2 linked regions of the Oreochromis niloticus genome follow. The protein of the gene in region 1 purifies or fractionates together with the protein of each later gene. This does not show direct contact. Links are inferred from orthologs where the notes say so. Each region holds a gene or a part of one and is shown on either strand. Other genes may lie near its edges. The genes, in order: pan2 and pan3.

Region 1 (16,267 bases):
TCTTCGCGAAAATACTTTTGACCTGTGCCCTGTCTCTCGCTTGGTGTCTGCACTTGGGTTCACCTGGTTATTGTCCCTCTAACAGTAAAAGGGGGGAAAAAAGGAAGTAGTGCTGGAGGATCCTGAGGATATTGTTTCCCGGTAGCATGTGCACATTGTTAAATAAATAAAGAAAGAAAAAGAGAAGTGATGTCATTGTTATTGACCACGAGGTGACCGTACACTATGTTCTGAAGAATTTAAGCTTTTCGCGTCACACATTTCACACAAACAAACAAGAAGCACTCTGAGAGCGCAAACATCCGCCAACACAGGTCATTTTCTGGGCAGTATTTACTTTTATAGTAGTAAAGAATTATTGTATTATGGACATGTTCATTTTCTTTTCTTTGTTCTTTTTACATGTACTTTAAGGAGTTTGTAGTGCAGTAAAAACAAGCATACAGTACAAGCTTTTGTTATTTGCTCTGTTGAAACCCATTTTAATATACCTGACATAATTTTGAGTATATTTATTTGTTATTTTTGTGGAAATAGTACATGTGTAGCATTCATTTTATTGTTTATTAAAATTTGCTTACATTTTTAGTAAATATCAGGTGAATAAAGTTTTTGATCACAAATTTTGTTTGTTTTTTAAATATATTTGTATATATTGGCAAAAAAGTCTTAGAATGTATTTAGTTTTCAAATCTTTGACAAATAAATTAAATAAATTAAGCCGGCCTTGAAATTCTCAGTGAATGTAAGCCAAATTTGAATGGATTGTTAATAAGACCCCACTCTACAGCCCTACAAAGTTTTATCAGAATTCACTGAAAACTTTTCAAACTAGTTTAGAAAAGAAGGAAGGAATAACCGATGCTCACGCAGACGCTACCAGAAAACATAACCTCCTTGGCAAAGGTAATTATATTTAAGCCAATTTTATTATTATTTAACGCAAGCTGCTGTTTTCAAAGGTGGGAATGATTGAATAGGTCTGAATGTCACTATGGACAAAAACCACATCTTTTATAATGAGTATGAACTGATGCCCTCAGGAAAAAGGTACAGGGTACCAAACCACATTTTCTCTAGTGCCATTATCAATCAGATTATTGAATGGGAGTGGGTGGTTGCATGTGGTAATGAGGATTTGTATGTGTCTCATCTCCTAGATGACATGTTTCCCCCATTTGTCCAAGGTGAATTTCTTCCAAGGGAGACAATAAAGGCTAATCTAAGAATCCTCTGATGATCAATTGACATAATCATAAACAGTGAGTGGTTCAGAATCAGGGACACTGAACAGCTTTAGTTTCTGCAACATAGTATGCACACTCATAGTATGGACAAAAAGAAAGAAAAAGTGGATCATGAGTTGCTGTTTTGACAACTGCTGTTTGAGTTTAAATAAATAAATATGATGTTATGGTTACTGACCACTGGATGACTGTACAGTATGTTCTAGTATGGTCACACATTTTTACACAACCATCTAGTTATGATTTTTTTTTTTTTTAGCAGTAATTCTATTAACTGATTTGAACTGTCCTTTCCAAAGTTGGGAATGAATAACTGCTCAGTCAACATAAATCAGGGAGACTGAAAATCTTCAGTTTCTGCACAATAACACACTTAAATGAGTTGATCTTTTGATACTGCTGTGCAAAAGCAAACAAAAAACAACCAAAACATTAGCAGCTCTTCAATCCAGACTGAAATTTTTAACATTTACATTTTAGATTTTTATCATACAGCAATGGACTTGGGGAGAGAGAAGACAGGAGTTCATGATATGCATGATGAATTAGGGGAAAAGGAAAGAAATGCTCAGTGCATCACTGGAAGTTCCCCAGTCCTGTCAGCTTCATCAAAAGGAAAAGCTTGAATCCTGATCTTAAAAGCATATGATTACATCTGATTGCCAATGAGTGTATTGTGTCGTATTTGGTGATCTTTTCATTTTGCAATCTAATTGGTTCGATTTATTTTTTTAAAAAGGAAGAAAGTATGACTTAATCCCTTCAATACACCGCCCACGATTTTTTAAATGCTCATAACCGTAATTAGAAAAATCTCTCGAGTGACTAATCGTAACATTTTTTGAACTTCCTGATTGCATCACAAATCCTCTGTAGAGTAAACAGTCTACAGGCACGTCACGTCTCATACAATAACAAACCATGCAGGTGATTTAAAAAAAAAAAAAAAAAAAAAAAAAAAAATGTAACACTGATCCTACCCACAGACATCAAAAGCATCCATTGCTCTGATTAGTGTTGCACCTTAAATGCTGTGTGTGTGGTTCACATCTGTCATTTTTCTGTGTATTATATTTGACCTGATTAGTTGTAGAGCATTTTTCAGTTTTTGCAAATGTTCTCAATAGGTAAATAATTTCCTCATGTGCTCTGAGAGCCAGGAAAATAAGTTCTGCTCTCCAGCAGTGGATGGAAACGGTAAAGTATGGAGTTTCTAACTCACAAAGAGTGCAGGTGGGTGGGACACGAGGGAGGCGAAATAATTTCAGGATATCAAATCACTCACACTAGGAGAAACTTCCTTGTTGAGCAGCCTAGTGCCTTTACGCTCACAGGCCTCATTACTACTTCCTCTTCCCCTTAAAACGTGTCACCTTCTCTCTCTCTTTTCCCCTTTCTTTGAATTACTGCTGCACATGCGTTGCATCATCTGACTGCAAACAAACAGGTCTGAGCAGAGGCGTTGACTGGGAGGAAATATGCAGGAAGTAGTGCAGCAGGAATGTTTTAGGAAAGCACAGCTTCCTTTTAGCACTATAACATTATTATTCAAAATTATTCAGTGAAAAGAGGGATACCTCTGTACAGGTAACTTCATAAATTTCCTGAATGAGTAAGCATTTATTGTGATCGTTTGGGCAAAAAGAACAATCGCCATAGGATAAATAATAAAAAATATTAAATTTAAGGCTCAAAACACGTTCTCATGCGTAGCAGTTTTTATTATTATAATAAACATTGTATTCAATTTGAATGAAAAATACAGAGGTGAATACAAAAAGTATTCATTGGTTATTAGGGATAAAAATAATAAATACAATAAATAAAACTTTAATAAATAGATATCAAATCTTTCGGAAATAGCATTAAAAATCGATAAGTTATTAACTACAGAAAACTGCACTACAAACTGCGATCACTGTGATCAATTTAAAAGACGCTCAATACATTGAGTGTTTAAAATACTGTGAGGTTCTACATGCATTTCTGAGTCGTTCCGTTTGTGTGGTGAACCGGATCTCCAACTGAAAGGACGCGAGCGGTGAAGATTGAGAAGGAGAAGAGTCTGTCCAGAGTGTAGTGACACAGATACGGCTTCTCCCACTCCCGAATTGCTACTTCTTCACCGACGGGGAGATCCTGCAGAATCAGAACGATCAGTAAGCCTTGTCAGTGCTGTTGTCTAAAACAAATAATTGAGTTTGCGTTGACCAAACTTACCTTCTCTGCGCCCCAGTCTCCCTTCGAATCAGCGCATTTCGTCACGTCTTTGTGCAGCTTATTTATCACTGGCATCACCTGGCTGGCAAACTCTGAGCAGTTTTCAAATTCAGAAATCCTCCTCAGCAGACTTCTGTAAACGTCAAGGACTTTGATCATCTTCCCAAAGCATGGCTAAGGACGAAGAATAGACAAAATGAGTAGAAATCACACCCAATCAGATAACATATCGTATTTTGAAATCACAGATTTATGTCAATTTTAGTTCAATTCAATTCATGTCACAGTTTATAATTCTTATAAGTGATATTACCAGAGATTGCTGTTTGAGGGTCTCAGGATCACACATGTCTTTCGCCTCCATCCACACAAGTAAGGTGCTAAATGGTATCTCTTCTCTCGTAACTAATCCCTTTCGTGCCTGCAGAACATTTGGAGACAGTCGGTATGAGCGCGTCGTGGTAGAATGTAATGCATCTCCTGTGAGAAAACCTTTAAAACTAGACTTTTTAAATGTGTTTATTGCTTTGCCATCGTCTAAGCGTGCATTTGAGTGAGCAAAACATATTCCAAATGCGCAGTAAAAAGTTTTTTCCTCCTCTACTAATGTTTTAAAAGGAGAAATTAAGAAATTGTTTGAAGAAGAAAAAAACAACTTACCTCCAGAGATACATTTCTAGCAATTTTATTAAGTTCCAGGGAACTGGCCTTTACATCAACGCAAAAGTCTTGATGTCCGGCTGGAGCAGAAGATGTGATCGAAAAAAACACAAAGGACAAAACAACAAAAGTAAACGAGAGCGTCATGGTGCTTTGTCAGTTGCCTCCTGGTGTGCGATTCTGTCTGTGAGAGAGGTGCTGGTTCTTTAAATATTGTCCCGCGTTAGTTAGAACGCGCCCAGTCTGCGTGTGATTTGAGAATGAGAGAGCGAGGGATGCTTTTAACTGGTGTGACTCAATACAGGGTTTCCCAAGGGCTTCCCTCTCAGGTGTGGACCAGACTACACTACTACGCAACAGGAAGACAGGAAACGCATTAGGTAATTTAGAATTCATTGGAAGAAAGCAAAACTCCGATCATAACAATGATATTCATAAGCTTGCAAAATCCACGTCTTTCCCTTTTTTTAATTATTGAGTTGCTCTAATCACACATGATATGAAATTAGTCAGCGCCACCACAGTTTCACGCTTTACTGTTTGTGATAAGGCTACAAGCGAAAAAGGCCAACTGACTTAAACAGTTTCACATCTGGGCATAGTCATGCTGAAAACTGCATTCACCGGTCACTTAATTGGGGACACCTCGCTCGTACCAGCCTTGTGCAAGTGATTTGCGATTTTGTTGTTTCTAATATCTTTGCTCGTGTTAATAAATGCCATGTATATATGTTAAATATATATGTTATATATAAAATAAAGAAATTACCTGTTTTGCAAGTTTAGCTACTTGTGACTGCGTTGTTGTACAATACCTACTTTGTAGGTTTATAATCAACTAAGCCTTTTTGGGCACATAAAATATCTTTATATGAATTTCATATTGCCACCCTCTTGGCAGGATCTCTCTTGAATGAAGTATTTTAACATCAATTACACTTTTTACCAGATACATGAAAAAATATGTCAAACTAACTGGCTGGTGATAGGAATGTTCTTTTTGACTCAAAATGGCTTGATATCATTCATGAGAGATGTGTTTGGCATTTGTTTAACAGGTTATAGGACAACAACAAGTCATTTCCCATTTTTATTTTTATTTGCAGACTGTGACTCTTTGGCACAAGACCTGGTCTAGCCCCCTTTTTGTGCCTTCAGCACAGTCTTAATTCTTCATGTCATATAAACATCAAGATGAAGGTGACATTTATCAGAGATTGTGGTCCATATCGACATGATAGCATCAAGTAGTTGTTGCAGATTTTGCGGCTGCTTAACCACGATGTGATTCTCCACCAGATCCCGAATCTCGACTGAGATCTGGTGACTGTGGAGGACATTTGAGTACAGTGGACTCACTGTCATTCAGATAAGGCTGCTGCCATCAGCTATCAGAAGATGGGTACACTGTGGACACGGTTAGCAAAAAAATTCGGGTAGGTAGTGCTGTGGGCTTTAAACGATAACGCTAAAGAGCCCAAGATGTCGCCGTATTACGCATACATACAATACAATACAATGAAAGAAAGACAAAAGAAAAAATCCAGGCTAGCAAAAATGTTATTCACAGTCTTACAATGTTCATGTCTTCCCCTTTATGGGTCGCTTTAATCGTGTAATATGAAATCATTCACAATGACCACATTTTTCACTTATTATGTGTGAAAGATTACAAGGAAAAAGACATCAACTAAAGTCTTTCTAATCAAAGTTTCACATCTGGCGAGGAAGTGAGAGTAACCTTTGTATCTCAGGGCGATAACAGGGCGAGTTCTCTATACATTATTGGGCAAACTTCCCGTCTGTGTCCACGATCTGCCCCTCTTCACTACCAGAGAAAAACCAAATCGTCTGCTTTTTTCTGAGAAAGAAAAAGTTCAGGGAAGACATAAGATATACACTTCCTTTATCTTTCCCATTTCTGTTCAATATTATTGCGAAAACGCAGGGGCGCACAAACACTAATGATTTGATCCTGTTATTGATTTACTGGCTGTTTATTTGTCAATTAAAAAGCTTTGGTAAGAGACTATTTCAGATTAGGAGAAAAATGCATAAAGCTACCTCCATCAAATAGCTCATCCTCAGCTGATATAATAAACAGAGTTTTTGTCCAATCAAGAAAGATCAACACGACAGAGGATCCGAAAATTGCGGGTCAACCATCCCTTTCACACACTCTGTTGCTTTGATGTTCCCACTGCTATGGGATTTTTCCCCCTGAACAACGTCAACATATGCTGCTATGTAAACCCCTGGATCACGTACAGTCCCACTTCTCTGTGTCCTAGTTGTTGCTGGGATTAATCACTTCCAACTTGTGGCTGCGCAGTTAAACCACGCGATGCTAGGCACTCACTGTGACACGACCAGGGGAAGAATATGAACTGAAACCAAGCTGATTAAACTTATAATATAGGGAAAATAAACAAGAGTGTGTTGGTGTAATCAAGGCGGCCGTTATTATTATTATTATTATTACTTAATCTCACTTTTAACTGTAGGGGGAGGGAGAGGACATGCCAGAAAAGGTTTGAGAACCACTCAAAAATACGGCAAAGACATGCCCAATAAAAGCATAAACGTTACAGCTCCTCACTTAAGGCATGTGAGAAAGCCATATTATGCACATAATTCTTATCACACTTTGTCCAGGAATAAAAATCCAGAAAAAGCTCCTGCTCAGGTCGTTTATGGTCGGTTTGTGCTGTTATCAAATGGTGCAGTCCTCTTTATCTTTCTGCTTTGTTATTTTCATCAGCAGCGAACAATTACTTTAATTATCCACACGCTAAATATTTCGTTTAGAAATAATTTGTATGCCAATAATTATTTATTTATTAGAAAATATTGGAACACATCCGGTAGGTGCAGGTGTTTTACCAATGCAGCAATCCAAGATTCAAATATATTTAGTTTAATGTGATATTTTTTAAAAAAGAAGAAAATTGGAGGGAGTTCTTGCATTTCACAGAGTTTGGAAGTGATGGATCATAAACTCGTACTTCCACAGTTTATCGACACATGCAGGTGAAACACCACGGATACCTTTCTGTAAAAAAGAAGAGCCATCATGGTTCCATCATAGTCAGCGTGGAATACCAGTTTCTATTAACTGCCACATTTTATTATTTCTGCGCAATTCATTTTAACATCTTCGCTTTAATTTGATACTAATACATATTTATTTAAATATATCATTTCTTTTAACACTCCACGTTGATTTCTGATCAACTTCACCCTTCACTTTCTGTGATGGCAACCTCCACACCTAACCACTAGTTGCTTCACTTTAGTTTACTCTGCAGTCACTACTTTAAATATATTTTACTTATTGTCCAATATATTGTTTCTTTATTAAATGTATTTTTTTCCATTACACCTTCCAGTGTTTATATGGAGTGCACACATATCAATACTCCAAGGTCAAAGTTCTGTTTTATGGTATATTAATCCATCTTTCGTTGTCTGAGTTACCTGGGGGTTCTGTTTCTCCTTCCCGGTTGGCAAAAGGTGTGGCAAAGGGCTGGGGGATCTGAAGTACTGCTGACAGCCTCATTGGACTAAACCACATGCATCATTGCCTCGGGGGTGTTTGGAGTTTGTATAATTGTTTTGTGTTAATTGGTTATATGGCAGCCACTTTGGTTTCCCCTTGTCTTTTATATGATTTAGCTAAGCCAGTAAGTTCCCTCTATTATTTCAGGAGGCCAGTTTTTCTTATGTTTGTTTGAGATTTTATTAGTGGTTATTTTGAGTTTAGTTTATTGAGCTCTTTTATTGGTTTGCCTGTTTAAGTTTTTGGCTTTGTCAGTTATTTTTCATATTTTTGGATCTATAAAACCCCATTTTTGACTTAAACACCTGTGTCCTCTATGCATTATGGCTTGGTCCCTGAGAAGCAGTATAAGAAAATAGTAATATGTGTGCCTCTTGGCATAGGCACACATAATAAGCATAAGAAATAAGAACTTTTTAGGCACAAGTAGTTGAGTAAACACCTCATTTACCTTACAAAGAGACAGGATTTATTTTTAAAAATAAATGATTGCCTTTGCGTGGACACGAATTATCACTTTTTTCCCTATGTCTTCACTATCAGTGAACACGGCTTTGTGACTAAGAAAGCGGGGTAGCGTCACCATGATAACCAGGAAAACAAAGATTTAAAACTTGGGAATTTGTTGAATTTTAATTCAAACCACAATTTTTCTCTAAGCCCAAGGTAGTATAGTTTTTAATTCCTAAATATAAGCAAGCGACATATTTTTTAATTCATTGCGTAGTTGAATTGATACAAGCCATGTGTGAAAATATGTGTATGAGTCTAAATCCACCGCCTCCAACCTCATCATATGGAATTTTTGACATCATTATTTTTATGTCGATGGACACAGATAAGAGTGGACTGATGAAAAGTCACCAATTTTGATTATTTCCCGAAGTGCGCTGAATGGCTGGCCATCAGTGAAGTGCTAAAGAATTATTATTAAACATAGGCTGTTTCTAGCATAAAAATCAAAGTTTATAACACGATTTTCTTCAGTGTAAAGATTAGTTTAAAATAAGGTTACATATATTTTACTGAATATAATTTACACATTTATCCTAGCTGTAGATGAAGAAATACCATATTTTGAATTATTATTAGCTGTTTTTAATATTGGTTGAACCACTACAAATTTGATTTGACATAGCAAACGATAATTAAAACTATCTGTGAAAGGACGAGTAATCACTGGCAAAGCCCAACGAAAAACAACCAAAACACGATGTTAACACCTTCATTGACTTCAATATGTTCATGTTTCCAGAAATGCCTTATGCAATACAGCTACTGGCTTTGACTGGCTTTGTTTGTTCATGTTTGTTCATGACATGATATAAAATGAGCCTGAATTGTCATCACACCTATGATGGCATGGAAATTTGAGTATAGAGAAAAAAAGTTTTAATTGTCACCTTTCTGATGATGAAATTAATACTGCGTCATTTTAAAATTTCCCTTTGAACTCTGGCATCCCTTAATCTGACTGGAGCGTATCCCAGTTACCATAGTGAGGCGGTCGCCAGTCCTTTAGAGGGCTAACCCAATATTCACAGCTATGGGAAATTTAGAATCAATCAATTAGTCTAACCCCGCTAACTGGATGTCTTATGACTGTGGGAGGAAGCCGGAGTACCCTCAAAGAAAACACGCAAGCACGGGGAGACCACGCAAACTCTACATAAAAGGATCCTTTTGACTTGTAAGATTTGTGCAGTAATTGTTAGTTTGTACAATAAAAAAAAACAAAAAAACAACTCTACATAAAAGGAACCCGACCTGAGTCAGTGCGCCCCAGGGCGGCTGTCGCTACAATGTAGCTTGCCATCATCTGTGTGTGAATGGGTGGATGACTGAATGTGTAAAGCACTTTGGGGTACTTAGGGACTAGTAAAGCGCTATACAAATACAGGCCATTTACCATTTACCATTTTGAGTCGAACTCAGGATCTCACAAACACACAAGGGAGTTCACGGTGCCTTCACGTATCATGCGGCGCTAGGTTAGAGACCTAGCCATACAAAGAGAATAATTGATGATCGTATTACATTAATATATTATTAGCGCTGTCAACTTAGCTGTCAAGATAACTGAGATGTTCCAAAACAACTCCAAAATGACCTATAAATCTCATGTGCTTGTCTTTTTTTAATGAAAAACATAAACTATGAACTATGATTAATAAGATAATTTACTAGTGTTTTACTGAATGAATAGCTACATCAACTTGTGAATTACAGCAATTAAAGTTAAAGACTGAATGAATAGGCCTACTATGAAATGTGCGTCTGGCATAACAACGGAACCCTACGCTCCAGCGCGGTTCCTAAACGCACCAGAGGTGCCCCGGAAACGTTTTCCAGTGTCCGTGTGTTTGTTGTTGTGAATGAAGTGTGAGCATGGACACCTTTGCAGTTCAGGTTTAGGTAGGTGATCACCTTAAATCGGTCTACTTTTAAGTTTAAGAAATGGGTGGCACTGTTTAGTATAATAGGTGTCGCACAGTTTAGCATGAACAGTTCAGGTTAGCCACAACGCTGCTAACATTAGCTAATTTAGATAAAGGACACAAGCAGCGTTCAAACACGGCTAAATTAGACACTACTCTCGTGTGTATTTTATTTTTTTAGATTATCTGCCCTATGTACGTTTTAGAAATGGATACCAGAGAATTGTCTTTCGGGTTTTGTTCCCTGTTAGCTTTAGAGTTCGCGTTTGTAAGCTACGTCAAAGCTAGCATCAAAGCTGCAGGATGTTTTTGCAGTTTCTCAGTCATCCAGGTCATTGTAGTCTTCAGCGCCTGCGTTTAGGACTACTGGACTTCTTCTTAGGTTTTTTAAGATGTTTCACCTCTCATTACTTGTCCAGCTTTAAAAATATGATGGGATATTAAGTCAGTGTTAAGTCAAAGAAACAACCTCAGATTTTAACCAAAAAGAAACGAAACAAGACTACCGTCTTGGAAAATGAAAAACTCGAAAGAACCTTCTCCAAGCCTAACATCCTAACATTAGAGCACTTCAAACCCAGCCACAAAAAGACAAAGACAAACTGGTTCCAAACCAACACTTTAACATGACCCCAGTGTCACTATTAACATGCGTTGGCGTTTCTCTTTAGGTTGATTTAACTGAATCCATGATGAACTTTGACGGTCTCGACCCTGGAATGGGTGAATACTCAGCCAGCCTTCATGGAACTCTAGATGCAGGCCTGGAGCCCTCCATGGACCCACACCTAAACCCAAACCTACTCCAGGGTGTGGAGCTGGACCCAGAGGGACTGGCTGTGACTGTCCCTGAGCCTGTACACCTGATGGAGGGGATCTTTTCTGAGCTGCACAGTGTAGTTTCAGAAGTTGGCATCCCTGTCACTGCAACACATTTTGACCTGCAGGAGGAAATGCTCTGGATGGGAAACCACAGAGTGAGACCCAGAATTATATTGGAGGACAGATTGTTTCGTCAGCCATTACACTTTGTAATATTCCTTTTTTGTATTCTTTTCAGGGTCATGTAACATCGTTCTTTGGACCAACAATGGCACGCTACTCTTCTTTCCAAGTGCATGCCACCGATGACATCCGACATATTCAGAGTTTGGAAACAGGCGTGCTGTTCCTTTCTAAATGCAACCTGAGATGTTACACTCGTGGAGGCCTCGTCATGTTTGATTATCCGTAAGTGTTCCACAATATTGGTAAGAAATTAGAGAAAAGACAACATTAAGGGTCCTGATGAAGGTTGCTGCAAAAATACAGAAGAAAATCTGTCAGTCGATATTATTGTGAATCCTACCCATCATAAATAGGGATGTGTTTTTCCACCTGTCTGTTTTATGCTCATATTGATTTTTAATGACATGGAGCTGTGAAATTATTTTTAAGGTTAAGGAATTAATGGCCATTTTTGGTGCTTTGCAGGATGGAGGAAGGAGCTGATATGCACAGTCTCCTCATGACTGATAACAACACGCTGCTCATGGGTGGATTGCAAAACTATGTGGCTGAAGTTGACTTGAATACAGTCCAAGAAACTCAAAAAGTAAGACATCAGGCTTGCATTTATCAATATTCGCAACTCTCTATGCTTGCACCACTGCCACAGCATAGGACTGAATTCACAGCAAGTGTCTGACTGTCTGCTGTCTTGTTTGTCCTTCCAGTTCACAGTGGAGGTACCTGGAGTGGCAATAATGCGTCAGACCAATCGTTTCTTCTTCTGTGGGCACACTTCTGGCAAAGTAAGTCTCACATTATTATATCAGTTTTGAAAAAATATATTTATTAGTTTTACATGACTCTCACATTTACCCTCCGTTCAAAACAGGTGACCCTTCGTGACTTGCGTACCTTTAAGATGGAGCATGAGTTTGATGCATTTTCTGGCAGCTTGTCAGACTTTGATGTTCACGGAAACCTTCTGGCTGCATGTGGATTCTCCAGCCGAGGCCTGAATGGGTTGGCGTGTGACCGTTTCCTCATGGTGTATGACCTCCGCATGATGCGTGCTGTAACCCCCCTTCAGGTGCATGTGGATCCCCTCTTCTTGCGCTTCATTCCTACCTACACGTCACGGCTTGCAATCATCTCACAGACAGGTATGAACTAAAGAGTTGAGTCAGCTTTAGAGTTCTTTAGTCTGATTGCTTGTTAGTTTCCTTGGTTTGTTTGGTCAATATAAGTGAAATACTAAGAAGATTAAAATTTTGACATTACAGTCAAATGTATTTTTTTGTCTTTTTTTTTATGTACAATTTTGTAAAAACTCTGTCTTAATCTATTATTTTTCTTTTTTCATAACTTTGACATATGTTTCCTAATATCTAAATTGTTCAACAACAGTTGCAGAGGTTGTGCTTGTGTGCTTTCTGTCTACACAGGAAATCACTCTCTGCTTATCTGGCGCTGCTTTCTGTAGTGTTACTTCTCTGAATTTGAGGTGCTGCTTCAGAGTACCTCTCCACTTTGGGTAGTCAGCTGCAAGGTCTTCCCTTGACTGATAAGATGCCTAGAATGCGACTGTGGTATCATACGTGAAAAGGGGTTGAGTCTTTTCCCACCTGGCGTATGTTGTCCAGGTCTTAGTGCTATAGAAGAGTGTGCTCATGACACAGGCAATGTACACAATTATTTTCATTTTAATGCTGTCTCAAATTTGTACAGTGAGGCCAGCAAGAGCTTTAGTGGCATTCCTGTAGTTGACTGCAGTCTCTTATGCTTTCAGAAACTGGTACATGTGGCAGGCAGGGCAACATGGTGGTGTGGGTTAGGTTAACTGGTGATTCTCAGTTGACCATAGTTGTGAATGTGACTGGTTGTCTGTCTCTCTGTGTTGGCCCTGCAACAGTCTGACAGCCTGTCGCCCTATGGTAGCTGGAATAGGCTCCAGCCCCCCCACCTCATGACCCTGAATTAAAAGTGGAAGAGAATGGACGGATAGTACATTTAGCTTCGCTATAACTGCCTGCATTCTCTCTTTTTCCAGGTCAGTGCCAATTCTGTGAGCCCACCGGCCTTGCCAACATGGCAGATATTTTTCACGTCAACACAGTGGGCCAGTTGCTCATGAGTTTTGACGTGTCAACAAGCAAACAAGCCTTAGCCTTTGGGGATTCAGGGGGATGTGTGCACCTTTGGTCCGATGCTCCAGAAGTTTCATTCAACGACTACTCACGGGAGACGGAATTTGCCCTGCCCTGCCTCGTGGACACACTGCCTCAGCTGGACTGGAATCACGACCTGCTGCCCCTCTCTCTGATCCCCATGCCGCTGACGAGCACTGAGCCTCTGCTGTCAGACTGGCCCACTGCCCTGGCTACACCCAGCCCCAGGTAACACAATTATTAACAGTATATACAGAACTGTTGTACTTAACTTAAAAACTAAAATTAAAAACAAAAAAGTCACCAAAAACTGAACTGAAACACACACTCTGGAAAGTAACCCGGATAGAAAACCGAACTGTTTCTGTCTGTTCATCAGGGTCACTATAGTTTATCTCAAACGAACTCTACATTACAATGTCACACTTCTCAAAACACAAAGAAATGCATCAAAGGCAGAAAGTGGTTCCAAAAAATACACTGTTGCCAAGACTAAGTTCCCAGCTGTTTTAGGAATTTATTTAGCCTCGGTGGAAAATTAAACTATAGGTTTATGACGTGTTTTAAGGAAATTTACATTTTCAGCAGGAACCTGTGGGCTCGGGGCTGGATGCCACAGACAGAATAAGGAAGTTGGAAAGAATTGAGAGACAGAGTAAAGCATTGTTGACTTCAGTTTTTTAAGGATCATTTTTCTTTAAAAAAAAAAGAAGTGTTTAAACAGTGTGGAGAAATATCAAACATTTTCAAGCTTTTCTGAATTTATATGGTAAAACCAAACCAGGAAAGGGAAGCTGGATCAATGGAGATGTACGATCTCATGTATGACATAATTGTTCATACCATAAACATATTACTTGACAATCTGGAAGTGGTTAATTTCTCTTTTCTGCAGTCATAGTTGATGACATTACCTCTGGAAATGCTGACATCTGTATTTGAAGTCATATATTACACACTTTATGTGAAGGTACAGAGACGCGTCATATTTTACGACACTAATTAAAACATGTAAACTATGGCTTGAAATTGGTTGGATTTTTTTTTTTCGTGTTCAGATTTTGTTAAGTTTGTGATGCAGTTGGTAATTTATTTATTTTTTCAATGAATATATGAATTTAGTCGTGTTTCACTATTAAAGGCACTTCAGAATGAGAAGCATGGCTTGTGGCTGCCCCCTCCCCCTTTTCCCCTTAACTGCTTTACAATCTAAAACATGTCTTTTTTTTTTAAATAAACAGACGAGCCCCTCCGGTGGACCCAGAAATCCTCCGCACTATGAAAACTGTTGGCTTCATTGGTTACGCAGCAAATCCACGTACCCGCCCCAGGAACCAGGCATGTGAAGAACTTGGTTATGCTAATCTAAATTGGGAAAAAAGAATTTTAATTGTCCTTCTTTACAAAATCCTAACAATTTTTCTATTTTAAGGCTGAAGACCAGATAAACACATGGTTTTCAACATAATTTAACTTATTTTTTGTTCCCTGTTTTGGTTTCAGGTTCCTTATAAAATTAAAGATGTGGAGCCTGATTATGATAATTACAACCAGGTCCCTGAGTCACCAATAGGACGTGATGAAGAGCCACATCTTTACATGGTGCCCAAAAAATATAGAAAGGTTGGACTTTATTTCATTCTCGTTCTCATATAGAGATGAGATTTATCTTTGAGGTATCACAATCTATAAAGTGTTGCTTTAAATTTAGATTTCCAAAACACATGATGAAGATGTCTTTGTTCTGCTTCAGGTCACAATTAAATACTCTAAACTTGGATTGGAGGACTTTGACTTCAAACATTACAACAGGACCTTGTTTGCTGGCCTGGAGCCACACATTCCCAATGCCTACTGTAACTGCATGATCCAGGTAAGAAACTGAAGATTTACAATGTAAAAATTTACTTTTTGATATGAGACATCATCAAGAGTTGCTCTCTGGTTTTTTATTGATGTCTTAGGTATTATATTTCCTGGAGCCGATTCGGTGTCTTGTTCAGAATCATTTGTGCCAGAAAGAGTTTTGTTTGGCCTGTGAGCTTGGCTTCCTCTTTCACATGTTAGATTTGTCACGAGGAGATCCATGTCAGGTAAGTTTTTTTCCATTCATCTCTCTGAAATTTTTTTTTTTTTGACTTGATAACTATTCAGCCTCTTGGGAAATACAGAACCCTTAAATTGAATTCTCATTTCTTTGCAACTGGACAATAATTTATTATGTAGCTTTCCCAAAGTACCATCTCCTATCATCTTCCTCAAGGCCAGTAACTTCCTCAGAGCGTTTCGAACCATCCCCGAAGCCTCGGCGTTGGGCCTGATCCTCTCAGACTCAGACGAGCAAACGGGGAAGGCTAGGCTTGGTCGCTTGATCCAAAGTTGGAATCGTTTCATCCTCACCCAGCTTCACCAGGAGACACAGGAGCAGGAGGGTCCGCAAGCCTACAGAGGTGCTAGCAGCAGGTATAATACATCAATCTGGAGGTGTTCTAGGCTGAAAATAATTTCAGGTAAAGGTGAAAGTAAGCACAATGGTTAGCGCTGCTTAGAGAAAGAGTCCTGGGTCTGTGGGTTTCCTCGGGAGCTGGTGTTTCTCCCATCCTTAACATGTGCTAGGTTACTTTACTATTCCAGTCACTGTGCCCTTGCCAAAGCACGCATGTATGGGTGTTGTGCCTGGGGACCAATGCTTAGAAATAGTTCGATTGTTATGTTGTCATTATCCTTTGACAAAATTCTCTTTCTGTGTGTGGTGATTGTTCAATAAATACAACCACATCCAAAAAGGCATCACAATACAGACATAATTACATACATCTAACAATGAAGTGACAGTAACATTACAAAAAAATTCATATCACCTGGATTTATTTAACAGTATTACATGAGACTGTATAAAAGATCAGACGGGTACCCTGACAGGAACTTGTACCTCTTTTGAGAGAAAGTGAATCATCTGCAGGATTCCTAACTCTTTCCCCACCGCTA
Region 2 (16,376 bases), on another chromosome or scaffold:
AAAACACAAACAAAAAACAAAAAAAAAACCTCTCCAAAACATATTTTTAGACACTTTGAATTTCTTAAAAACATCATGTATTATTCGTTTGCACAATCTAACCCATCTACCTACACACCTATAAGCATGGCATGAGCACAACTGCATGCAATGCAATCATGAAAGCATGCACTCAAATAGACTTGGGCAGATGACCTCAATATCAAACAAGTAAACAGAGTCGAAATGTGTGAAGGGGAGGGAGTGCAGAAAGGCGTGTGAGGTGATGCTAGGCCTATTCGTAGCAAAGGACCAGGAAGGGAGGGACAGTCAGCATACCCCATTTCCTTTTGGTGAAGTACGAGTCTGCTGCTGGGTCATTAAAGTGTCTGCTGAACATGGTTTCTGCACCTGCATGGAAATCATACGAGAACACCAAAGCTGGGGAAAGAAGACAAAAGTGTAAAGGAAATTAGGGCTGAAAAAAACCTCCCCAAAATGCTTTGTGTCAGCATGAAAATGTAAAACGGATTTTAAAAAAATGTATCTATTAGCTAACTGGATATTTCAACTCCAGCTAATGGTCAACAACAATCTATTTGTCACATAGCTTTAGTGTCAGATATTCACATGGAGAGTTTAAATCTAAAGCTGTAGTAACAACGAAATTAGCACATGGCAAATTTGAGACAATTTAGTATAAAATATAGTTATGTAACCAGAAAAAAATGCAAGTATAAAATCATGTAGCTATATGAAATTTCTGTTCAAATACAGGCAAGCATTAAATCAACAAGTCATGTATAGCTAATTACACTCACAGTGGTCTCCAAAGGCCTTGGTGGTGAAGACCTCTCTCAATGTTACAGTGTTTGAGTGCTGAATCTTCTTCCACATGTCCACCAGCATCATGCACTTTGTGTTAACGAGGCGGAAACCTTTGCATATTAAAAATATTAATTATTTATAAGACATTCATTTTATGTTAGATCCAAGCAATGGGTGAAAACAAACAACCAGTGAATACAAAGGGCCCAACTTCAAGAAACCTTTAATTTATTTACTCTACCTGAGAGAATTTTTATTGTTTCACCACACCTTATCTAAATGAGTTTAACTAGGTTTAAACTGGTTTGTTTGAATATAGTTTTGGTTTAAATTCGGCTGGATTTCACAAGTTTTAGGCACAATTTCGATTCTTCCTGGGAAAATATGTTTTACATGAGTAGCTTGTTAAGCTGTACCTTGCTAACATCACACATAAAGCCCACCTGTAAAGTTACAGCATCACATTATAACTGTAATGTTCTGGTACTCCAATGGTGAAAATATTTATATGCTTTTATATTTGAGTCTAATCTTTTTTATATTGTTAGGATTGCAGCTCAGAAAACCCAGAACACACACACACACACACACACACACACACACACACACACACACACACACACACACACACACACACACACACACACCTGGGACACTTAATGCAAATCAATAAAATTAATATTCAGTTTTATCTGCTATAAAACTAAAGCAACTTCCACAACTCCTTTTATTAGGCTGTGGGAAGGTAACCTTTAATGTTTAAATCTATGGAGTTTAAAGTTGCAGAAAGTCCTCAGCATTAAAATAATTCGCTCAAATTAAAGAATTCTTATTGCTCTGTGAGTTAAATCCAAATATTAACATTATTTTCTATAACATTTCTACCGCTATGGTCTCTATCATCATCATATTCATCTTACATGCTTCTTATTGGAATAGGCGGCACTCATAGGGATTATTTTGTGAAGAAGTGTCAGATGATATGTGAAACTCCCCTTTTATGTAAACGAAACAGAGCCTGACAAAGAAAGTCGTCTTAACAGAGACAGCTGATAACCACTGTCATGAAAGCCATTATCACCGGGATTTTTTAGTTTTGTCAAATCAGCTCCCTCTCTCTCTCTCTCTCACACACACACACACACACACACACACACACACTCTCTCAACTGGACATTAAGTGGACACTGCATTACGGCGCTTACGAGATAAAAATCTGTTCTGTCAGACTGAGTCACAGCTCCCCCCCAAGTAATGTATTGAAAGTTTAGAGCTGCAGTCCACCCATGAAAGCATTTAATTCAATTCATTCCATTTTATTTATATAGCGCCAAATCACAAAAACAGTCGCCTCAAGGCTCTTTATATTGTAAGGTAGACCCTACAATAATACATACAGAGAAAAAAAAACAACAATCATATGACCCCCTATGAGCAAGCACTTTGGCGACAGTGGGAAGGAAAAACTCCCTTTTAACAGGAAGAACCCTCTGGCAGAACCAGGCTCAGGGAGGGGCATTACAATACAACATTACAATATTAGAAATGCTGGAACAGCATTTCTTACCATGTATCCTCCTCAGGCAGTACGGTAGGTCATCTTTGCTATTCACTGCCTTGTAGCACGAGGTGATGTAGCTGAAGTTGCTGGTCTTCTGCATGCGGTTTGGTGGGGGAAGGGGCTCGAGGGGAAACAGGCTGTGATAGCTGTCCACCTCAGATGGTACATCTACCAAAAACAGGCATTTTTAGAGAGGGGAAAAAACACCACATACTGCACACAAAGTAAAAGATTTAAAATGTAAGTGGCAACTAGGGTTGGGCGATATGTAAAGATTTTCCAACCGACAATCCTTAGTCCAATAATCGACGATGGGCAATATATTCACGCATGCATAGACATTTTGATAGGCGGAGGAATATAACCAAGCACGGACTAATTTGTGCATTTATAACATAGAAGTCCAAAGATGGACAAACTAATTTCCCCCCAAAATTAGGGCTGATTAACGAGATTAAAATTTTTAACGTGCTCAACCGTCTGTAGCGCAGAATGAACCAACTTTGGACAAACTGCCCGAAATGCGCTGACAGAGCCATTTCAGGAATTTTGACTCAGTCTGCGCTCCAGATGTGTTAACTGTTAATCCCGTTAGTCGTGATGATCGCGCATTAATGCTGACAGCACTAAAAAAAAAAAATATGAAGTTGCCAATTTGGGATGAAAGAGGTAAACCTAAGCATGTAACCAAAGTGGTGTGCGAGCAAAGTAGTCAAACACGACTAACTTGCATGAGCATGTACGTGTCCACCATCCGGCTGAGTATGCTAGGCTATCACCAGCTTCTGCAGCTCCATCAACAAGCATTTGGGCACACTCTGAGGAGAGTGCATTTGCTCGCAGATGAAAGAGGGTGCTGTTAAAACAGCGCTATTATTGTTTTTTCTGTTGGCTGCTTCTATTAGCTCCATCCTTATTAGAAACTTACTCATGGGCAAATAAATAAATAAATCGCCCTCGTAAAAACGATCGCCGATGGGCTCAACCTATAGTTGATAGTCGATATATTCGTCCAATCGCCCAACCCCAGTGGCAACAAACAAGATTTTTGGTTTAATTTACTGGAAAGTTTATATTCCTGAGGTACAAAAAGCTTGTTTGCAAAACAATCAGAAATCTTGTTTTCCCTGTTAGTGACCAATAGTTTACCGTCTGGGGAAAAGCTATCTCGAATAATTGTGAAAACCAGACCCAGCAGAATTTTTTAAAAAGTCCCTGAAGAAGGTGAAGTGGGAGCGTGACAGAAAACAAAAGTAAAACAAGACTGAGCCTGAAATGGACATTCACTCTATTATAAAAGCTCAAGGATTTGTGATCAAAAGCAACATGTGTGTGGCATCATCTCTAGTGGATCAGCTATTTACAAAAAACTGACTGCCTACTAGCCTGATTTATTTTAAAACGGAATCTGAGTCAGACTTTGCAACACGTGCCTTAAGGGAGACACTGAAAAGCTGTCTGTTGCTCCACAGCACTGCTGACGTGATGCGTTTGTGATAGTTGCAATCTTAGCAACTGACACACACTAAACACATACACACAGAGCCCACAACCAACATATTTCACACCAACAGGACAGAATAACTCTACATCACACTTGCAAAAAGCACCAGTGCTGGTTTGTTTACATGTAAATATAGAAAATAGAACACTGAAACAGCCATTTAGTTTTATAAGCGCATGTTTAAGGTCAGTTGTCACAAGCATCCCTTAACATGTCAACAATGTAGATGCTATACCTGGATTTTCTGAGTGGTCAATTTGGGCCATGGTTATTAGATGTCTGTTTATCAACTCCTGAAGAAGAAACAAGTGGACAAGACATCAGTTATAAAGCTTCAGAGAAGAGAAGGGGAATGTTTGGTTAACAAGGACAATACCTGTCGAAGCTCATCAGCCATGAAGAAGGACGGGGCATTGGCTTTCGGCTGCATGTAAGCCACATGTGGCGCCGTGGGTGGATAGATATGGTAGGTAGGAAACACCTGCAATAAAATGAGAAAAAAGAAAACACAGCTTCCTATTTATTGAGAAGTGGAAACCAGTCTGATCATACAAATATTGTTTTCAGGCAGCTATGTAAATGAATGCGAGAGAATGAAACTCTGGTGATGTTATTAAAAAAACAAAAAAAACCCAAATTACATTCCCTATTAGGCCACAGTAATATCAGAGTCAACAGCCATGAATTTACATCTCAATGCGGCCTATTAAATAAGACTCACATTTACATCAAAACTTAAAAACGCAGACTGATTTAAGTGATATTCATTTTTTTGTGTTTAAAGAGACTGAATGCATCTGCAGAGTGTATTCGTACCATCCCAGCCATTGGTGCCGGGGTGTTGTCTGTGTAAAAGTAGGTCGTCCCCCCTACAGTCTCTTTCTGGATAATGTGTGCACCCTGGTCAGACGCAGTGGTGGGCACCATGTAGTTGGCAGGGTTTGGGGTGTGACTGCGTCGACGGGGAGCAGGTGAGGTGTGTGGTGTAATTTTAGGTGAGTGAAGAGGAGAAGATCCCGCAGACAACGACATTCCTGAAAAAGGAGACAGAATGTGAGAAATGTTTCTTAGGAAAAGATTTAATTTCACAGTAATATGTGAGGGAAATCCCTCACGAACTCAAGTATTACAATTTCTAAAGATGAAAAACAAAACTGAGCCCAACAGACAGTGTTCAGGTAGAGAGTAGTTCTCAAAAAAAAACCCACACCTGGAGCCAGGGCAGCAGCTGTGGAGCCGCTGAGACCAGGATGTGCAAAGAGAGGTGAGGGGAAGGCCTGGACAGTGGACTGAGCCATATTGGCCATACGTGGAGCTCCCTTAGGGATGAATTCACTCGCTGCCGGGTTAGGAGCCTGCCAACACAAATGAAAACAATGCAAAAATTAAAAGTTGTCTATCAGTCTTGTTGGAGGCAAATTAACTCATCTTTGTCTGGCTTCAAGTACTTCCTTATATAAAAATGCAATCCTGAACCTTTAAAGAACTCTAATGCTATAACCCGATGTTTGTACGCTCACCTTTCTCCTTTGGGAAATGCTAAGAGCACCAAAATCACTGAACAGTGAGGATGTCGGGGAGTTCACTGGATCTGCAAAGCACAAAGTGTTAAGGGCCCCTTCCAAACTGTGGAACAGTGGATGAGTATCAGCTAGTGCCTCAAAGATATCTGAATACAGCTTACCATGAGTGCTGTGGCTGAAGTTCTTGGCACCATCGTTGAGAAGACTGGGAGAGCTGCTGCTGGTAGTCATTCGCTAAGGAGAGGAGCATCCAGAGGATATGTGTTACAAAAAGCACCGCGCTGTCCAATTATGTTCATCAAAATACAACGAAATACCATAAAATAATTTAACTGCATGGCCTTAGTCTCCAATTATGCTTTCAAAGACCTAAAACTTTTTTGTGGTGGTAGGTTGGAGCTGCTGGTAGCCAGTTGCTGAATTAAACCTATAAATGTTTTAGTTCCAAAGTAGTTGGTGTCAAATTAATAACTAATCTACAAATTCAGCTGCCTCTTTCATGAGGCCAGGGTTTTGGATATAGTCCAACTTCACTGCTTTGGGCTGGTCACGTCACGCTTTGTTCTGCTCTGCAGCATTCTGTCAGCTTGAAATAGGAGCACACGAACCAGCTCTTCACCTGCTCCAGGTTCTGGTTTGAGTGGTCCTCAAGCTCACAACAGATCTCCCAGAGAGCAGAACAAGGACTACCATCACTAGCCACAGTCCAAGACAAAGGATTCAGAGCTGGTCTAAAAGCAAGATGAGAGACTCACTGGAGAGGCAGCTCAATGATATTAAACACTAGCCAAAAAGCAACCCAGCCCACCTGCAGAGTCGAGTTTAGCTCGTTAGCAGCATCTGAACTTTCAAAAACATGCCTGAGGGCATTGTCTACTAGTAAAGTTATTGCATACGGCACAAAAAAAAGAAATGAAATAAGGTTCAACCCTAACATAACCATGTTGCCAGTCACGTACATGTGGAAACCACTGACTGGGGATGTAGCGATATACCCGCCAGTAAATGCCTCGATGACTCCCAACAGCAAAAGATGAAACTTAATGATGGCAGTGGCTGACGTTAACCTATTGTGTCACATCGATTTCACAGTAGCTAAATGTTCAAAGTTGGAGTGATGGAGAACTTGAAGACTTTGGTTTATTGTGAAGCTGTTTTTATGCTTCCCTGTGAAAAAAAAAAGCGCAATAACAACAAACTCAATACAGAAATGTGACCGGTATACCATCAACTCAGAATTTCACACGCATTGCATTCCTAACATAGCAAAACAAAACACGCATAAATTCATTTTCAGTTTGTTTAACTGTATATTTACTGTGACAGACCTACAGCGGCCCTCTTGTACCTGCATCATTGAGTATTTAGGCTCTGCTGGACTTCCAAATCCATTGACCCCAATAAAGCTGCTGCTGAAGTAAGAGTTGGTAAGATTGGCATCGCTCAGGGTTGCACCTTCCATCCCTGGGACTGTAGATGACAACAAAAGCAGAGTTTTGCAGATTAGGACTGAAGCCAGACCGACATCAGTTAGAGATAATTGCTTACACAGTCCAAAAGGTAATGCACTCATGCTAATGTGTGCGCAACTGAGTGCGTCTTCAGCCAATCACAGTTTGAAAGCATGTAAACAGTGAGCCGCAGCTGAAGCTTGACCCAAGGTGTTAGCTACCACCAGCAAACTTTTTTAGTAATACTTCCAGGACAGCTTTTAATGCAGGACTGCAAAGTGCATGCTACTTAAACACAAAAACACAACACACAAAAACAATGCCTACTAAACCGTTAGCGTAGGTAGGCTAGTGTTAGAAAAGACTCAACTTGGAGAACAACACTAAACTTCACTTTAAGTTAAGTGAAGAAGAAAATGCAAAGTGCTGATAAAAACACTCATTTCTCCTTTTTGGAGGAGAAACCCAAACAGGTAGAATAAGTTAAAGTGGTCAGTTTAAACATAGTTTAGCTAACGCTAGCGGGCTATTAGCTGCAGGAGCTAACGTTAGTGGGACGCGGATTTCTGCCCACTCACAGCTGTCACACAACACAACAGGCCTCCTCGGCTACAGCAGCATGGCTCATGTTTTGTGTTTTTAAGATACTGGTAACACAACGTGTAGTCAAAACTTGTGAGACGACAGTTAAAGAGCGCGTTATATGCTAGTTGCACGTTGGGCTGTTTTGCTAATGTCTGGCAAGTAAAAGTAAACCACGTTGTTTTGGCGCTGAGAGGCCTCAGTGAATCCTCGGGCTAAATTTTAACAAAGCTCCGTGAGGCCGGAAAGTAAAGTCACAGTCAGTCACCATGCACGAGGCCTTGGTTTACAGTAATTTGTACTCACTGGTTAACAGCTGCCCCTCCAGAGACGTATTCGCAGGCCCCAATGTTTCACTCTTCTTGGGCACGCCGGTGCCCCCACCGCCCGGGCAGCCCGCCGCGGAGCCGCCAAGGGAATACCCCGCTTGCGTCCCACCACCCCCGGCCATGGACAACGGGACAGGGCTGCCGCCGCCGCCGTGCAGCGGCAAACTCGCCAAGGACGGATCCTCATGCAAGAACTGACACTCATCTCCATAAAAGCAGGTTTTGTCTTTTGCGTAGTATCGACAAAACTTCACCTTGACATTAGGTATCCCGGCACCCCCGAGCGGAGCAGCTGAAGGTGAGAGTCCACTGTTCATGGCACTGCTGCTGCCGCCACTGCTGCCGGAAGACGCTCAAACATAGAGAGATGCAGGAAGCTAGCGTGCTAGCCCGCTAGCTTTCAACCAGTTTTCACTTAAAGGAGCGTGTTAATGTCACTTCGGGTGATGGAAAACACTTAAGATCCCAGAGTACTCACATTCTAAGGCTAAGGAGCATTTTGGTTTGAGGAAATATCACTGCATGTGAAATCCTGGTCGTCGTTGTTGCTTTTGTTGTTGTCGCTATCCATGCAGCTGCCTTCGCAAAGTAGCCTGTTGTTGTTGTTTTTTCCGCTCACAGCCTCTGTGCTGTGCTACAGAGCCGCTAGCATAGCTGTGCATTGTGGGTAAAGCAAATTGTACCTGCTGGATGCAAACTAAATTTGAGGTATCTGCGATGTTGACAAAGATATAGGGGGAAATTTTCTTTTTTTTTCTTTAGCGCGGCTATCATTCAGAATTAAGCAAACGATGCAAACATGATAGAACATTTTAAAATACGTTTTAAAAAAGAGAAAGAGAAAAGAAATTACTTCTTATTTTTGGTCTTACTGGATTATGGTACAAATATTTCCCAGCATGCATACAATATCTCTCTTCTCCCTCTCTGTCATGTTGATAACGTAGAAACCAGCCTCTTCAGTTTTTTCTTAATGAAAACACCCAGAAAAAAATTATTGTACTTCCATTTTTTAAATCTCCAACAACGTTATACTGGCGGATTGACAGTATCTCGCGTGTACATTTTAGGCTCTCAGCGTCATCCAATGGTCTTATACTTCCTCTATTTATAAGGCACATACGGACGTCTTGTACGCCAGTCTAGCCACAGAGTGAGCATGTAAACCAGCCAGAAAATACGCATCAATGCCGAGGCACCAAAATATGATTGCGGGTGAGTAAGACTCTTTCAAATCCCTGTTTTGTGGCCTGAATTATTGCCACTGAAGTAGTGCAACTTTTAGCTTCACGTTTGGCCATTTACCAGTTAGGGTTCAAAAATTTAAAATTAGCATGTTAGAAATAAAGATTCAGATATAAAATATTGGGTTGACATCAAGATTTACATTTTCAGTTTGAGGAACTTCAAGGCTCAGCAGCGACTGACAAGTGTTAAGGCTAACATTTGTAGTTCATATAAGGTGACATATGATGCTCTCAGAAAGAAAATAAATATCCGAAATAATAGGTGTGTGTCCCTATAAAAAACACAAATTACACTTTGTGTGATTTTTATAGTTTATAAGTGTTTAACATTTCTGTTTTAATATAATAAAAAAAAATTACTACTGTGCCATTAATAAATTCACAGGAAGCACTAAACACATCAGTTCATTTGTCCGCATGACTGTGTTGCATTGCGCTTTTTTTCAAATTTGCTTATTTACTTAAGCTGTATTTTCTTTAAAATTAAATAATCAATTCCTGTTTAATTTGTTATTTTCCAGTAAATTTCTAATAATTCGGGAAATGTGCATTTGTTTGAACTGAAGTTTTCATTTTCTGTATCTCCAGCTGTTCTGCTGCTGTGTGCTGTTGGAGCACTGTCTGATGATGGGAAGACCCAACCATCTGTGCCCAATCATGAAGTAAGAGCTGCTTTAACTGGAAAATAATGAGGAAAAACAACACAATTTAGTAGATGCTGTACAACTGCTGAACTGACAGAAAATAAATGTAAATAATATATGCACAAACCATTAGAACTCCAATATGAAGTAATTCCACTAAAGCACTTTTTTGTATAAACAAAAGAAAATATTCTTCAAACTTTGTGTAGCTTTATCTTATTTTCACTAATGACAGTGTCATTGTTTCATGAGTATGCAGAAACACAAAAATGCAGAGCAACAAAATGCTCTAAAACATCACAGGGGGAAATGGTACTCCTGTTTCATTTCTCGAAATCTGTCACTTTGTCTCATTTCAGTAAAAACTCTGCGTCCAAATTTTATTCCATTATAAAAGTAATGGACATTTTTTTAACCAGTTCATAGTTTAATATTTTCACACATGTAGTTGTGTGAAAAATAAAGTATACCCACTTTCGTTTCTATGGTTTTACATGACAGGACAAATTAAAATAATCATCTGACACTTAGCAGTGACATTATTTGTTTAACAAATACTGAGTCAAAATGCAGAAGCTGTGTTTAAAAATATAAGTAGACCCCCAAGATTTAGCAGCAATAGCTTTAATAATAGTTTTCTGTGTGAGGTCATCAGTCATTCTTATAGCCCAAGTTATCACCCCTGCACCACCATGCTTCACAGTTGGTATGAGGTGTTGGTGCTGATATGATGTGTTTAGTTTTTTCATCATATGTGGTGCTGTGCATGACGGCTAATCGTCTCCACTTTGGGCTCAACTGCCCAGTGGACATTGTTCCAGAAGTCTTGGGGTTTGTTCAGATGTTCAGATTTGTTCAACTTTGCAAAGCTAAGCTGGGCTGCCATGTTATTTTTAGAGAGACAAGGGTTTCTTCTGGCAACCCTTCCAAACAAGCTGTGTTTGTTCAGTCTTTTTCTAATTGTACTGTCATGAACTTTAATAATTACAATGTTAACTGAAGCCAATAGAGACTGACGTGTAGCTCACAAGCTTCTTGCTGATTCTGAGGTTTGCACTGTCTGAATTTGGGGTGACTTTGCTGGGACGTCACTCCTGGCAAGATTGGCAACTGTGTTGACTGTTTTCCACTTGTAAATAGTCTTTCTCACTGTAGAATGATGGATTTCAAATGGCCGAGTAACCCTTCCCAGATTGATTGGGAGCAACAATTCATTCACTGAGATGATTGTTGATGTTGTTACTCTTTCACGCCTGAATGCTCCAGACCAGAAAACCACTGAAACATTTGTTTTATAGAGGTGCTCATGATTACTGATGATCAGCACGTGACCGCTACTTACCCTCTTAAATCCTGTGGAAGTAATAAATAGTTACTTTGATTTTCATACAGTGCTTCTCCATTTTTGCTTTATTTTTCTTAAATAATTATATACTCTAATATTTTATGTGTTTTTATGTTGTCTTAATATGTAAAATTGAAGCAATGTTTATGCTTGGTTTGGTGATTAACAATCTCTCAGCTTTTATTACAACTTCAGACAATTATTTGCTAAATCAACCTTTTTATGTGTTTTTGTAAACCATTTTCTTAACATCTTGCCATCAGTGATTATTTTATTGCTGCTTAATAAAGGAGGATTAAATGGTGGGTCTTGTTCTTCAGGCAGCATGTTTGCTACCAGCTGATTATCAGAATCAATCTGGTTCCATCAACAAAGAGTTGGCTGTGGGTAAGAAACTCATCATCTCCCTGGAGGGCCTCTCTGGATCTCCTGTCTGCCACTGGATCAGAGGAGAAGACCGAGTAATGACAGCGTAAGTGACCGTCTGTGTTTCTGTTTGGGTGCTTTTATCTTTTTATGCAATTAAACTGAGACGTTTCCTTTAATCTCAGCAGAAATGGGAGTCAGTCCATGGTTACATCACCGCTTTCTGAGACAGATTCAGGGGCGTACACTCTGACCTGTGAATCCAAAAATGCCACCATGTTTTCCACGACTGTGATTCTTTATGTAATGAGTGAGTAACAGCTTCTCACCTTCTTTCTTCGACAATACTCAAACAATCTGTTTGATCATAAATTAGTGATAATAAAATGAATTTAATTGTTTTCTTTGTTGTTTAGAACGTCCAACAAAACCTCCAACAAAACGTCCAACAAAACCACAGCTGATGCTCGATGGTGTGGACGTGTCAGATACTTCCCCGCTTTTTAAGTGTGTCTCTGAGGGTTTCCCCAAACCCACAATCCAATGGTCTGGGTAAGACGTTGTCCTTTACGTTTTTATGCAAACTTTAGAATAGCAGCACTTCTTAATGTCTGATTTTAGACTGAATCATTTAGAGAGATGCTTTATTTTGGTAGGTGGTTAGGATAGATGGTATTAGACAAGCTTTGATAATAATGTATGTCAAAGACACAGCGAATATAATTTTACATAATTTTACACCACTAACAATTTTTTTCTCTGTTTGAACAGTAACAAGGATGTAAAACAGAGTTTAAAGGAAAGTGACAGAAAGACAGAGAGCAAAATATCAAGCGCTCAATATTATGATATAGGAATGATGTGCTGTGCAAACAATACTGAAGGACAAGAGTGCTCCCAACTGTATGACTACGGTAACTGGATTTAAATTAACTAATAACAAATTTAATACATCCACAAAGAATATATCCATAAATTATTACAGGAGTTAATTTGAGTAAAATTTGGTTCAAATACTTGAAAAAACAATGTTTACTCAGAGATTCACTAACTAATCTCAGAGAAGTAAATGACAAATTCTGCCTGCCAAATATATTTTTGACTTGAGGCCCTGATGTGTGTTTCAGACTTACAGAGCAGTGTAATGAACAAAGATGAGGTATCTACTGTCACCCTGAGCAAAGGTCAGTCTCTGCTGCTTCGCTGCAGAGTAAACGGATACAGTCTGACACCACCTGTGTGGGAGAAAGGAGGAAGACTGCTCGATGCCAGGACATTGTCATGTAAACCAGAGGAGGAGGTACAGTAATGTCCTGTAATCAGGGAGAGTTTCCTTAAACTTTCTTGTTATGTTTGTCTGAAAACTGACTGACCTCTTTAATATTACTCAGTCTGAGACACAAAGTACTTCACTGATAATCATCCTGCAAATGATCATTATTATGGTTTTTTTCTTCCAGATGTGCATTAAAAATGACTCACATTATGGTGTTCGGATGGCCTACCTGTCCATCAGATCAGTGAGAGAGGAGCACAGCGGCACATACACCTGCACGAGTACAAATAAAAACTCAAAGTCTGTTGATGTTCATGTCTCGGGTTAGTAGACTTCATTTCATGTCATTATTATTTGAAACTGTTCCCACTGAATAAATCTGACTGGTTTATTCTTGTGTTTCCTCAGATGAAGTTTCCCTCTCTGCACAGCTGGATGAGACCAAGATCATATCAGCTCAGGAGGCATCCAGCACCTGCTTGCAGGCCACTGTTTCCTACCATCCTGTTCTCCAGCACTGTTCCTGGGAGACTCCTGACAAAAAAAGGACTAAATGTGTCAGGGAGACATGGGTAACACAGCACAGGTACTTCAATGAAGCAAACTGTCACCATGTAGAAGTGTAAAAATATCCATTCATTCACGTTTTTCATGAGCAGCAACAGAGAACTGCTGCTGTCCAGTGTAATCATGTGATATGAGGTCTATAATGAACTGTTTCTCAGGACTGTGAAGCTTTGTGATCCACTCATATCAGGAGATTATAAGTTACACCTGGAGGCTGGAGGACAAAAGGAAACAAAGACCATATCAGTGTGTGTTGTAGGTGGGTTAATGTAGCCTTTGTTACATTTTTATTAGTATTTAAATGTAATTATGTTTGACATCATCTGATTTTGTTCCAGATGAACCAAAGTTCAACTTCTTGTTTAATAAGGATGATGGTACCATCAACCTTGAGACTGCCAGTCTGGTGCCAGCAAACTATACCTGGATGGTTTGCTCTAAGTCCAATGACAGGTATGATTACCTGCACAGTCGTTCAGCTCAGAGAGCATTTTTAGCTCTGATTATTTAAACTCCTTTTACTTTGTTTTACTGCAGCTGTGAAACAGACTCGTCCTGGGATGAGTTCCCAAATGCCTCTAAAACAGTCTCTGAAACAGACTCTAATTTTTCCTGCAACAAGCCGATCAAGAGCTCAGTGAGCAAAGACGTGGTGAAAGGAGACCAATTCAGGTTTTGTCTGACAAACTCAGTTGGAACCTGGTGCAAAACCCATTTCATGATTATCCCACCTCAGTCCTCTATTGGTAATAACAAATCTTTAATGAATATATTTACTGAAAATATTTGATGAAAAAAAATCTAAAAGTTTTCATGCTCACACTGTTTTGTTTTGTTTTATTTTTTAGGTAAGCCACCTGAGGATAACTCCTTCCTGCTGAAAGTATGTGTGGTTCTGCTTCTGGCTTTGATAGTCGCCATTATGGCGCTCATGTGTTTTATCAAAAAGAAGGTAAATATAAATAAGTTGTATCAGCATACATTTAAATGCAAACACACACAAAGACATGACACCAAACCTTTTATGTTTCCAGCAGAAACCCCAATATCAGCCTCAGCTTCAGATGATCCAGATGACTGGACCCAGTGATAATGATTACATCTACATCAACTTCAAGGACTTTGAGTATGACAGGAAATGGGAGTTTCCCAGGGAGAACCTTGAACTGGGTATGAAGTAAACTAGGTTACAGGGTTAAATATATGCATCAACACATAAATGCAATGTAAAGTTTTGCACTCAGTCAGTAAGAAGAGGTTTAAAAGAACATTCAAATATATGTAAAATTATTGATTTAGCTGCTAGCAGACCTCTGAAACCATTAAAAGAACGAGAGGCCCTTCAAATGGTAACAAGACGTACTTGAGGGCTTGCAAAATTACAGACTGAAGCAGAAAAAAGAGGAAAAAAAGTTCTTCTACATAAATGTGTTATCTGTGAAATATTCAGACTTTCCTCTTTTCATTTTTTTATGAAGAGTTTTACCTTTCTGGGCCTCAAAGTGTTGTCTGAACTCAGCAACACACCACGTTTAAAGAGGAAATGTCTCTTTGCCGGAACTTCTAACCAGATAGATACGTGAAACATGTCAAGGGGCCCCAACAGGACACCTTTAAGAGGCCGCAACTCTTTGGTTTAATATTGCAGAACAATCATTTGTCTTTAGTTTTTAATGGAATAAGCTCAATCTAAAAACTAACTTAATGTGAACACTTTTTTCCCTCATATTTCATTACAACGTGTCGATAAACTTCGTCAATATAATGAACAAAACTGAATTTTGAGCGTTTTTCTGTCCTCCTCAGGTAAAGAACTGGGCTCTGGAGCTTTTGGCATGGTGGTCCAGGCTACAGCTTATGGCATCAAAAAGCCAGGAGTCTCACAGAAGGTGGCCGTCAAGATGCTGAAAGGTTGGTGTTCGTTTCATGAGTGAAATGCAGAGCGTTAAAAGGGGTTATACCTAAAAGTGCTAATCTTGTACTTGACTCTGCAGAAAAACACCAGACTATGGAGAAGGAGGCTTTGATGTCAGAGCTCAAGATGCTAACTCACATTGGACACCATGCCAACATTGTCAACCTGCTCGGTGCATGCACAGACTCTGGTGCGTTTAACACATGCACAATCTCATCTTTCAGATGAGACCTACTGCACTGGTTTCTGATTATTTGGCATAAATCTTGTGCGCAAGTCATGATCTTGTATATTAATGTCAAACAGAAGTTTTAAAATAACCTAATTTCCCCTCATCTAGGACCAGTATACCTGATTTTCCAGTACTGCTGTCATGGAGACCTGCTGAATTACTTAAAAAACAACTGTGAACGTTACCACAAGTCTGTCACTGACGCTTTTGACAAAGACCGTTTCAGAAGCCTCTACCACAACCTGCAGCTCAGGAAATGCCCCAGGTGAGACAGGTTTCTATATCAGTGCTGCCTTTTGTTTATTTGTTAAATTATTCTCTGCAAAGTTGGTGTGGCATTACAGTTGTGTTACATTTGTCTTTTCTCAGTGCGCTGGAAGCACCAGTGGATAATTACGTGCCTATGTACACCGCTACCACAGGGGGGCAGGAGGACATCGCACTCCTTACCATCAACTCTGACAACATGGACAGCTGTGAAGGTGAGAAACGTGATAATAAGGCCAGCAGAGCATGCACGTTATCATGGTGAAAAAAAGACGTTTAAAAAAAGGTGTATGTGTGAACAGAGGTTGACACACTACTGTGAGATTCAGAAATGGTGGCTGAACACAATTTATCTGCAGATCCAGAGAGCTTTGAAACCCCAGACGAGCAGACGGAAGACCTGGAAGCCCTGACCTTTGATGACCTGCTGAGCTTTGCCTTCCAAGTGGCAAGAGGCATGGAGTTCCTCTCCTCCAAGAATGTAGGCGACAAACACCAGACAAACCTCTGTCACCCAGCCTCTCTGCAGAAACACATTTAGTCTTTTTAGTTCCTCTGTGTTGATGATCAATTTAGACCTAAATAGGCAGACTTAACCTGAAACACCTGTGTTGGTTTCTTAGTTCTTTGCATTTTGTCATAATATATCTATATTTGGGAGATTTGGAATTTTATAAACCGCACAGTTCAAGGGAAATTATTTAAATATAACTAAAATAAAATTGCATATCAAAATAAATACACAAAACATATGCTGATG

Evidence for each region.
Region 2: the proteins of pan2 (region 1) and pan3 purify together in Homo sapiens (co-immunoprecipitation; 5 studies listed by BioGRID and IntAct, with this or other methods). This does not show direct contact. The link is inferred for Oreochromis niloticus from reciprocal best matches to the Homo sapiens genes PAN2 and PAN3.

What each region holds. Positions count from the first base shown.
Region 1 is NC_031984.2:9,596,914-9,613,180, forward strand, and holds the start of pan2 (PAN2-PAN3 deadenylation complex catalytic subunit PAN2), read left to right. Parts: upstream 1-9,968; 5' UTR 9,969-10,101; intron 10,102-10,795; 5' UTR 10,796-10,813; coding exon 10,814-11,101; intron 11,102-11,184; coding exon 11,185-11,354; intron 11,355-11,597; coding exon 11,598-11,718; intron 11,719-11,839; coding exon 11,840-11,917; intron 11,918-12,003; coding exon 12,004-12,274; intron 12,275-13,161; coding exon 13,162-13,507; intron 13,508-14,520; coding exon 14,521-14,617; intron 14,618-14,782; coding exon 14,783-14,902; intron 14,903-15,032; coding exon 15,033-15,152; intron 15,153-15,243; coding exon 15,244-15,372; intron 15,373-15,542; coding exon 15,543-15,742; intron 15,743-16,267. UniProt on the Homo sapiens protein: Catalytic subunit of the poly(A)-nuclease (PAN) deadenylation complex, one of two cytoplasmic mRNA deadenylases involved in general and miRNA-mediated mRNA turnover.
Region 2 is NC_031974.2:18,998,604-19,014,979, reverse strand, and holds the start of pan3 (PAN2-PAN3 deadenylation complex subunit PAN3), read right to left. Parts: upstream 8,075-16,376; coding exon 7,735-8,074; intron 6,866-7,734; coding exon 6,744-6,865; intron 6,679-6,743; exon of another isoform or gene 6,355-6,678; intron 5,630-6,354; coding exon 5,557-5,629; intron 5,464-5,556; coding exon 5,393-5,463; intron 5,228-5,392; coding exon 5,083-5,227; intron 4,907-5,082; coding exon 4,689-4,906; intron 4,354-4,688; coding exon 4,249-4,353; intron 4,166-4,248; coding exon 4,108-4,165; intron 2,537-4,107; coding exon 2,375-2,536; intron 918-2,374; coding exon 801-917; intron 421-800; coding exon 319-420; intron 1-318. Other genes in the region: receptor-type tyrosine-protein kinase FLT3, read left to right, coding at 8,945-8,972, 9,593-9,666, 11,314-11,465, 11,545-11,669, 11,776-11,911, 12,131-12,273, 12,487-12,659, 12,820-12,958 and 11 more. UniProt on the Homo sapiens protein: Regulatory subunit of the poly(A)-nuclease (PAN) deadenylation complex, one of two cytoplasmic mRNA deadenylases involved in general and miRNA-mediated mRNA turnover.